Drosophila melanogaster: one gene and its partner. The protein of the gene in region 1 interacts with the protein of each later gene in a pairwise test. Each region holds a gene or a part of one and is shown on either strand. Other genes may lie near its edges. The genes, in order: Tao and gw.

What was found.
Region 2: the proteins of Tao (region 1) and gw interact in a two-hybrid assay, tested with the Drosophila melanogaster proteins (one large-scale study listed by BioGRID).

What each region holds. Positions count from the first base shown.
Region 1 is NC_004354.4:19,576,601-19,581,810, forward strand, and holds the start of Tao (Tao), read right to left. Parts: upstream 3,201-5,210; 5' UTR 2,798-3,200; intron 1,903-2,797; exon of another isoform or gene 1,302-1,902; intron 995-1,301; 5' UTR 895-994; coding exon 665-894; intron 600-664; coding exon 95-599; intron 1-94. Other genes in the region: CG14218 (uncharacterized protein), read right to left, coding at 3,946-4,334, 4,396-5,059. UniProt on the Drosophila melanogaster protein: Serine/threonine-protein kinase which regulates the Hippo/SWH (Sav/Wts/Hpo) signaling pathway, a signaling pathway that plays a pivotal role in organ size control and tumor suppression by restricting proliferation and promoting apoptosis.
Region 2 is NC_004353.4:657,365-662,645, forward strand, and holds the start of gw (gawky), read right to left. Parts: upstream 3,245-5,281; 5' UTR 3,065-3,244; intron 2,620-3,064; exon of another isoform or gene 2,196-2,619; intron 1,145-2,195; 5' UTR 974-1,144; coding exon 538-973; intron 321-537; coding exon 1-320. Other genes in the region: CG46466 (uncharacterized protein), read right to left, coding at 3,791-4,609. UniProt on the Drosophila melanogaster protein: Required for gene silencing mediated by micro-RNAs (miRNAs). Silences both polyadenylated and deadenylated mRNAs. Required for miRNA-mediated translational repression and mRNA decay. Not required for miRNA target recognition.

The DNA of each region.
Region 1 (5,210 bases):
TGAGAGCGATACGTAAATAAATACATTGGCATACTTCAGTTTTGCTATCAAAACAGACTCCTACCAAGAAATTAAAACTTCGATTGCTACTCACCGGAAGAGTCGGCGACTCATTCTGCGCAATGTGGTAGAGCGCCGACATGGCGTTCATGTTAAAGTAGGGAGGCTTGCGCTCTGCCAGTTCGATGCAGGTGATGCCCAGCGACCACACGTCCACCTTGCCGTCGTATTGGCCCTCGTCCATGGCCAGGATCACCTCGGGCGCCATCCAATAGGGCGTGCCGACAAAACTGTTGGCCGGACACTTGATGGCAGCGCTACCGAAATCGGCCAGCTTGACGACGCCGTTGTCCGTGAGCAGGATGTTGCCCGCCTTGATGTCACGGTGGATGCGGCCCAGCGAGTGCAGATAGCTCAACCCACTGAGCACGCCCAGACAGATGGCGGCGATCTCGTCCTCGTGCAGCGGCTTCTTGTGCACCTCGATGATGTCCGAGGCGGAGCCCACGCAGTACTCCATCACCAGCCAGGCGGTTGATTCGCGCAAATAGCATCCCTTGTATTCTATGGTGTTCGGGTGGTTCAATTGGCGAAGGAAGCTGTTGTGTACACATAAATTGATTAGAAGTCACTCGGGCGAACGCAAGTGTCAGCCAGTGCTCACCGTATCTCTTTGAGAATATCCTGCCACTTCTCCTGGCTCTGCTTGCCGGTGTACGACATCTTTTTGATGGCCACGATCTCCCTGGTGAGGTTGCATCGCGCATAATAGACCGCGCCGAAAGACCCATGGCCGATTTCGCGCAGGTCCTCGAAGATTTTCTCCGGGTCATGCTTGTTGAATAGGTCGGCTATTTCCGGATCCTTGAGACTACCAGGTCGTGCCGAAGGCATGGCTGTCTTTCATGCTCTAGCCCAGCTCTCTCAGTGGTCGACCTGCGTGCTTCTCCTCGCAGCTTGCAGCTCCAGCTGGCTACTCTGCTGTCTTGAAGTTCTGTGCGGATCGGGTGGGGCGAAAAAAAGGCGATTCCGGTTAGTCAGTCACATTCACAGCCTGCGCCAGTCACTTAGTCATGTTCAAAGGGTCGACATTTTTGGGGGATTTCAGGCTGAAACGCTGAGACTGCGGACCAATTGAATTGGGCGGCACGGGGCGTAGCGGGAATGGCTGGGCCAGTGGACAGTGGGCACTGTGCTTTGGTCAGCATTTGCATGGGGAGACGGTCAAACGGACGGACGGATGGGAACAGCTAAAAGCCGACTATCATCAAATCGATCAAGTGATTCATGCTCGCACATACTGTACGAATCATTCAAAACTCCGAATTCCGCACGCAGCACGGCCTTATCGCAAATATATTCACTGTTGGCACCGTCTTTTATGGCCAGGCTATTTTCCTCAGCTTGTTACCAACTTGTCAGCTGCTTTTTGGCCAGATTACGACAGCTGGGGTGTAAGTGGTCTAGGGCATTTGGCAGTCGGTATGACTAACGCCGTTAAGTTCATTTGCTTGGATTTCGAACAAGTAATGAGTGGAGTGGATGCGCACGTGCAGTAGGGCGGTATTTGTGGTCAAGCTGGACTAACTAGCTAGGTGTAGGGTATGCACACGTGCTGCAGGGTAATCAAAGGTCGTTACGACTGACACACAAACACACGCGAGCTGCCAAGGAGTAACGGCACCAAAGGGGTGCATTTATCGCCGTTGCGAATCCAAATACACACACACACATGCATACATTGGAGTATGCATGTCTGTGCATGCGGAGGCGTTTTGCGGGCGTCTGCGGATATCCGCCGGCTAAAGACGCGGATTTTGGCCCCCGTCGGAGCTCCGGCTTTCGCCTATCGCCGCCTGGCAAAAATTCTCAATACAATTAGTCCGCTGTGGTGCGGCGACTGCAATTCTTTGCCTGCGACGCGAAACAGAAACACGCCTATTTTTCATAGCCACCACACTATTGCACAAAGAGCAGCCATGTCGCTCACACACACTCACGCGCGCGCTCTATATGTATATGTGCGGTGGGATTGCTTGTTGTTTTGCATTTCGGGCGACACAAATTCAATTCAATTCGTGCCTTTTCCGTGGCTTGCACTGTGCTGTGGCGCTCCGTCACAGGGAATTGTAGTAGAATACCAAAGAGTTCTGCGATTCGAATTGATTTTCAGTTGGGTTGGCTTTTCCTTGGGTGCGGACTAGGCACACACCGAAGGAGCCGAAAAAGAACGCACGAAGGCGGTGATGCTGCGCCAGTTGTTGGTTTTCTTCGTTGACTGACCACTTATTGACTGATTACCATGGTTGATCTATGTGTTGCGATTAAAATTGGCTTATTTCGCTGCATTTTGCAACTGTTTTGAATCGCCTAATTTTGTTTTGCTTGCACACACACACACTCACGCTCGTCGGGGGAGCAGACAAATACACACACATTCGTATGGTTCGACTGGTGCTATCCCGTTCTCGCGCGTTGAGGGAGTCGTCGCACCGAAATCAGATGTAGCACTCAGAACCCGCAAATGCGCTGTATTTGATTGAAATTTGTGGGATCAATGATAATACCACATTGTTAATTCAATGGGCAGATGGCACACAAGAAATTCGCATTTATTGGCCAAAACGCAAACGCGAAAAAGAACAGTATGCACATACACACACGTACACGAGCATACGCATTCACACACACAGGCACACACGCACACAGGGATGGAGAGACAGTGGAAAATGCATAAATCTGGCGAGGCGAAAAAGAAAAAACGTTTGAACTTTTTCCACTGCGTTCGAGGGCTTACATTTGGCAATCAATTAGTGCTTGCTTGTTTATCGGCGCAACTGGGTCTCGCTTTTCGCATCTGTATGCATTTTTCCCTTTCATACGTCGCTTTCCCTACGACCGCTGCTGCTGTTATTGGCCCTGCTGCGACTGGGAACGGGAATCGGAATGGGACTGGTAGTGGTAGTGATACTGCTACTGGGAATGGCAACTATTGCCCTGCACTGCACACGCGTTGCGTTCACGAATCCGCACTGGCTACACATCTCGAGTGCCAAGCACCGAATTCGGGGGATCGTTACGTCGCAGATGCACCCATCTACGGCATGGAAAATTGGCAGCGATTGTCTATTTGCAACTTTTCTTCACCCGTTTCTCTAATTAAATTCCGTAAAGTTCACGTTCACACAGCACACAGTGTTACCAGATCAGCCGAGCGGCTTGAAACCAAAAACTACCACTGACCGCTTTTTACTAAAAAATCCCGATTTTAGGCGATATATTTAAAATTAACTTATTTTTTTCAATATGTTTGCGAAGTTAACTCTTGCAGAGGCGTTTTTATAGTTGAATTCGCTCAATTCAATTAGTTTTAAGAGAAAAGGTTCGTTTTTTGGTCTCTATCGATAGTCTATCGAACGTGCACCGGGTGGTGATGTCCGTGGTTACGCTATCGTTTTGGAATTATTAGTTTTTTTTTTTAATGTTTGAAAATCAATAATTTAACTTATACAGAATTCTGCAGAATTACAGCTCACGAAATCGCAGTTGGGTATCTATGTTAGAAGAACACATATATGTATCAAATTTTTAATAACTTTTTAATAGCTCAGTTCGCTAAGTCAAATACCGATACTCATCGCAACAAGTTTGGCGCACTTTTTGAAAACATACTGATAATTTCATGATACGGTATTTACTTAGCTATTTAACGCCCTCCTAGTTAATATAAATTACGGGGAACTTACATTATTACTTTATTTGATATGTTATTTACAACTATGCAAACTGGGAATACAAAAAAATGGATGCTTATATTTAAAATAGTTTATGTTCAATTTTAAGCACACTGCAACACATAAGCTATACATATGTACATACACATAATATATCAAGCTGCGAAGTTAATTTTATTGCCCACGTTGGAAAAATGAGAAACTCTACCGCTTAATTATAGAAGTACTGCTGCTGATTGAAAGTTGGGAAGCGATTCGTGTTGCCAAGCTCGAGGGGCGGGAAGTAGCCTTGGGATGATGCGGGAATACCAGAAGCACCCGCTGAACCCTGATCCTGACCCCCATCCTGACCCGCATCCTGAGCCCGCTGTCCAGCAAACGGCTGCCCAAAGTCGTCATCGCTCTCGTAGTTGACCAAAAATCGCGAAGCACTTGGTGGGGGAGAAGCAGGTTGGGAGTCAGGCCCATCTGCAGTGACAGGAAATGCAGCCGCATCCGGATCGGCAACTGAGTCCGGGTCCTGGGAGTCAACTAAGTCTCCGCTGTCTGGGTCAGCCGCCGCCGTCGCCTCCGCCACGGCTCGCGACCTAAAGAAGGTATCTGCAAAGTGTCGGAGAGAACCCAATTGTACGGCAGTTAGTTAAGAGGTTTCGTATTTTACCAGTAGGTTGTGCGTACTGATAGATAAGGCGGTCGCCCAGCTGGGCGGGACGCCGCTGTTGAGGATCGGGCTGCTGGGGTCGTGGGCGCGGCCGTGGCCTTGGGCGTGGCGGAGCTGTGGGCGGCGGCGGAGGAGGTGGAGGCGGTGGAGGTTCAGCTGGCGCCGCTGGCTGCGCATCATAGTCATAGTCGTAGTCATAGTTCGGCGGAGGAGGCGGTGCCAGTGTCGTTGGGCGTGGACGTGGTCGCACCTGCGGTCGGACGCGTCTAGGTGGCTGTGTAGTGGGCGGCGCAGGCGCTGGAGGTCGTGGTGCCGGAGGATCAGCGTAGTCCACATCGAAGGCCCCGGGCAGGAAACCGGAACTGAAGAACGGATGCCAGATGGGCTTACGAATGCGTATCGGAGCAGGTGGTGGTGGCGGAGGCGGCGTCGTCGTGGTGGTCGTCGGTGGACGACGTGTGGTCCGCGCCAGATTGGCCTTAGCCGAGGACAGCTGGGCGCTCTTGAGCAGCAGGTTACGCAGGAGCAGGCCAAAGTCCAGGGTGATGGTGCCTCGCTTTTCTCGCGCCACCTCCGTGTCCTGCGGCCCAGGATCGGCTGAGATCAGCGCCAGGAGCAGGCCCACCAACAGCAGGGCCATCAACTGCAGACGTAACATCCTCATCCTGACGGATCAAAGAGTATGTGTGTACCGCTCGAAAGGCCGTTCCAATCAGAACTGGCGCTGGTCAGCGCTGGAGTCGCCTGCCTGTACTCCAACGGAGTGGTGCCACGCGGGCCTGGGCGTCGCGGATTAAGTGCCCCCCCAAAGTCAA
Region 2 (5,281 bases), on another chromosome or scaffold:
ACCTTGCAACTGGTTATGGGACATTTGTGGATGATGACCCCACATTTCAGAGGTCCCATTAAGACGACCAGATATTCCACGGGGATCTCCTCGAATAGGGTCACGCGGATCGATCATGCGAATGTCTCGTGGATCGCTCGAAGTTGCTCCAGAACCGTTACCGCCGCGATGTTCAACATTTCGAATATCCATGGAGCCACCAACTCCCAAAGGGCGTATTTCACGAGGGTCTCCCCAACCGTTACCAGCGTTGCTGGAGTTTCCGCTACTACCTGTTGCGACTCCAGACGATCCAGTTATATTGCTTGACCCGTTACCTCCTTAAATAACAGCAGAAATATAAAAGTATTTCGGGTTAATGAAATAAAAGTTTCTGTAGAACTTAGAATAGGTAATTCCCCAGATAAGGCTCCAACTTCAATTACTACACTTTATGTTTTTATCATGTATTGTTAGTCACATTTTGAGGGAAAAGCTAGAGCCTTTATCTGATCGTTTGCGCTTAACTTCATTAATTCTAATAGATATTAGGCCTACCAGTTGATCCAAGTCCGACGCCAACGACACCTTGTCCCCACTGAGGTCCGCCAGACGAAACAACACCGCCTGGACCGACATTAACTCCGGCTTGGTTTACTCCCACTGCAGCTCCGGATCCCGCGTTGCTAACAGCTCCTCCAGTCCACACACTACTACTATCGGCGCCATCGTCGTCCTCACCCCATGTTCCACCTAAGTTAGAGGATGGTGTATGACCCCACGACGGCTTTGGAACTTGCTGTGCGGCCGGCTGACCTCCGTTTCTCAAATTGGACTCCCAAAGATCAGTACCATTGTTAATGCTTGGCTTCCACATTGGTGGACCGGGTGCATCCTTATTGGCTGGTTCTGGCGAACTGGGAACTTCCCAATTAGTATCCTGGTTAACATGCTGACAGCCCCAGCCATCTTGGGAAAAAAGGGCTTCACGCATAGTGCTCAAGTGTTCTAACTGATTGTCAGCTTCAAAAGTAGCATTCCTTACTATTCCAACATCCACTTGATCTTTAACTTCATTATCATAAGCATTTATGGCAATTTTTAAAAGTTATTTAATTTAATCGAAAAGGAATGACTTAATCTGAATCCTTGTTCTTTCCGTGTTCTGTAGAAATATAGAAAACATTTATTATTTTTATTACAAAATATTCATTCTAAATCAAATTGCTAAGTTCTTTTTTTATTTTCTTGTATATACACAGGATAAATAAACTTAATCACCGTGATACGTTTATGCTTTATACACATTATTAATAGAGTAAAATGGTATATGGTATACCAGATTTGTTCTAAAGTATGTTACATAGCGGAAGCGTTTTCGACATAAAAGCTAGACAGTTGAGAATAAGCATGCAGATTCTAGTGACCCCTACGTTGTGCACGTTTGTTTTTAGTTTTTCTATTGTTCGTTGTTCTTAAAAAATTTTTTAATTCTGATCAGCTTTTCGTAGGCTTAATCAATATCTTCTTTACAGATTTTTAACTGCATAACATCAGTTAAAATTCTGAAGGAGAAATCATAAAAATTTAAGCTTTATAATCGATTCAAAAAGTCTGAGGACATACATATGGGTATATAAGAGTGGGAGTCATTTGACAGGAGTTAAACATGTATACTTAGTATGTACATAAAGAATTTTAAAAATGAAATATGCATCGCGATCGCTGACCTACCAGGTCTGCTGCCCAACCGGCAGAATCCCCACCCACATTAACGACAAATTCCTGTGTGAAAAACGAATGCATGTCAAAAAATAAAACAATTAAATTCACAACTCTGTAATGGTATATAAATATACATATGCATATGTACACAAGTAAAATGAATTTGTCAACTCTGGGCAGGCAGACATTGACGGAAGCACCCTATTTTATGTCTCCCTTTCCTAATTTCGCACTTGCAATTATGCTCAAATAAACTTAGAATTTAAAATGTATTTACACAACCTGTATATATGCAAGTATTGGCAAAAAGACTAATGCGATAGATATATACATGTATATACATTTGTATGAATACATTTTCAGTACTCTAGTGCATATGTAGAGAAGTCATTGTACAATACTTAGTATATTCGCGTGTCTTGTACCCTATGTGTAGAAATACAAGCGAAAAGCTGAGAACGTCACAAAATGGAGATCTAACTAAAACCTACCAAACAGAAATTAGAAATTAATATCTATTGCCAGAATATGCGTTTATAGTAAAATTGAACACTTGTGTATACGCTAATAGTTCACCGAATATTTGCAACAATTTTTGCCTTTACTGAACGAGAAGTTGATTTTCTCTATATATGTAAATATATGTGCATTTTTGTGTGTATGCATGTCAAGCCACTTTGACGAGTTCACAAAGTGTGTATGTGTTGTAAAACATACACACATTCGACAATCAATTATAGTTTTTCATATTTCACAAAATAAACTGGGATTAATAACAATCTTGAATGCGAAAACTGATTAGACTCAACAATAATTATAATTCGATGTAATTGAATATAAATTTCTGCGCACGTTCGACGATGGGGACGGCAGTTACTAGTGTATTAAATAAACCCATACAGATATTCCTGCTTGCAATATTGCCACCTAGTCAAAATTTAAAGACGGAATGGAAAGGTATGTGGAGTATAGACTAATGCAAATATGCAAAATGCTTACTTTATTTTTAATTACACTATTACTAAATTTTAACTGTTGGTGTGGAAAACCTCAAAGCAAATGCGACACATTTAAATTCCCTATTGCTTTGTCATTATGTAAAAGATTTAAAGCGTGGCAACTCTTGACTGGAACATATGTACATATAGACTTTTCCAATGCACGATACACAAGCGAACAGAATTTATTCTGCACTGATACACACATGCGTATGTCCGAAACTAAACGCTTGGGTTTTTGCGACCATTTAGGTTATGCACACTTAGGTTATGTCAGAAAGTTTCGCTTTTAATCGTACTGAGTACGTCTTCAACCATACATTAAAATTATTCTACTTCAATTTAGCTGCATTACTCCGTACATTCTATCCGTGGTGGGCTGTTGGCAATCTTTTCGTTTTAATGACAAAGCGCTTGTTTTCGAAAGATTACGCACACAAAAACATTCACTACTCGTGCTAATTCATTTTAACACACGCAATTTAAATAAAAAGTAACTATACGATGCTCTCACTCGCACTTCGCCTGGATCACGACAGACTCTTCTAGGTAGATGTCCGATATTTTCTTAAACTAATCGATATTAATCAATCTTAGGTAATACCCAGTTTACACAACTGCCTAAAATAAGTGCTGTGACCCGTTCACATCGAAGAGGTCAGATAGAGGGTACACAACAGAAGGATTAATTGATTAAAATAAATTAGCTGATATAATTTAAATTAATTCAAAACAGAGCTGTTTCAAACAAGTTCCAACTCATATAACTCTCGACCATTTCTAACAATTCAAATGAAATTTAAGGGATTAAAACAATACAGTGAGATAACATATGCATTAATAAATTTTAAAGCTTGAATGCCTTATTGAAGTGAGAATTGAAACAGGTTTGGGCAATCCATTAAATTCATAACTTATTTTATTAAGTCTATGTTAAAAAAGAATCCTTAATAATGTAATGTATAAAGTTTGGACTTACGACCGATTAATATTAATGTGTATGTTTTGGTGTTTTGCCTTGAAATCAAATGAAATTATGTTCTAAAATATCGGCTCTCCTTCGACTATCTATGAGATTTAAATAGGTTTTACCAATTGCTAAGAAAATCGAAACCCTTAGGCATTTTTAGTTCAGGGGATAACAGTTTTGTATTTTCGTCTTGACGTGCATCTTTAAATTCGTTTTCATAATCAGACAAGTCGTTTAACACACTGTTTTTCGATCCACATTTAACGAGCAGTTGCATTTTCTCATTAGATTCAATACATTCATCAATATAAACAGTTTGGGTTTTTGAGAAGTTTTCATGAATGGAAATCTTTCTTTCCGTTGTGTTAACGCCGGTTTTATCATTAGAATTAAGGTGGAGAATTGGTATTTTTTTATTGGTTGAATCTTTTGTCTTCAATTTTAAATGAATGGCCTTTTTTACGCCTAATGGAGTTTCAACAAGACAGATATCATCAAATTCTTTTAATACTATGTTAATTTGTGATTTGGTTCGATAAGAAAATGGAAACGAATGTTCATCTTGAAAATCTCCGGTGTTTTCATCGCGTAATATTTTTAAACCAACGTTTTGATAATTATATGTGTGTAAATCTTGGCCGTTATATAAATATACAATGTCTCTGAAACAAAATTTACGGTAATCATTTTTACTAACTTCAGTATTTTCGTACGGATCCTGTGCCGCATAGTTTTCTTTAGTCTTATGACAGTACTTAGAAAATATAACAGGATCTATTAATTGGTTATTCAATATTTTTTCCTGTTCGTTTAAAGTCAATTTAAGCCAAGCGTCTTGGTTGTATGTAGATTTAACTTTATTGAGATCGCAGGTAATTTTTTCGGAAATTGAATTAAGACGTGAGAAGTATGACTGAGCCTCATCGTGTGTTGTCATTTTTGATCTGAAAATAAATATGGTTTGCTGTATTAAATGGTTAGCGGAACGTTAGATTCTATCATAAAATCGAATAATTATATTAACCTGAATTCTTGAAAAAGTATTTATAATTCTTTTATACTCTTCACTCGTAAAGTAAGGGGGTTATTAAAAATTAAAAAAGAACATAACAGGTGAACAAAAAGGTTTCCGAGACTAGTTAATGAACTTCGGGATTTGGACACTATATGATGTCCAAACCGAAAACAAATGCAATAAAAAAGAAATATATAACCTTAGAATCAAATTAGCCCACCTCTCCTTTATTTACATTACTAATTTTTGGTAGCCAGAGGAGTGCTTCCCGACATTACAACATTCATAGGGGCAGACGGAAGTATCAACTCGGATGGGTGTTTCTTTCTAATCTAGACACATACATATGTATGTATATACTACATAGGGTTTATGTGTGTTTAAATTGATATGGGCGTTACAGTTTTGAACGATTTGTAGGTATTTGGTTAAAATTGTTTTTGGCAGTTTTTGGGCGGTTCGTGGTCGTTAGAACAAGCGTGTAAACATTTGGAAACATGTGAGTATAAAATGGGATCGATGCGTTCCTATTACATACATATACTTTCTATGATCGGAGACGGTTTCTTCTACCAATTACATACATTGCAGCGA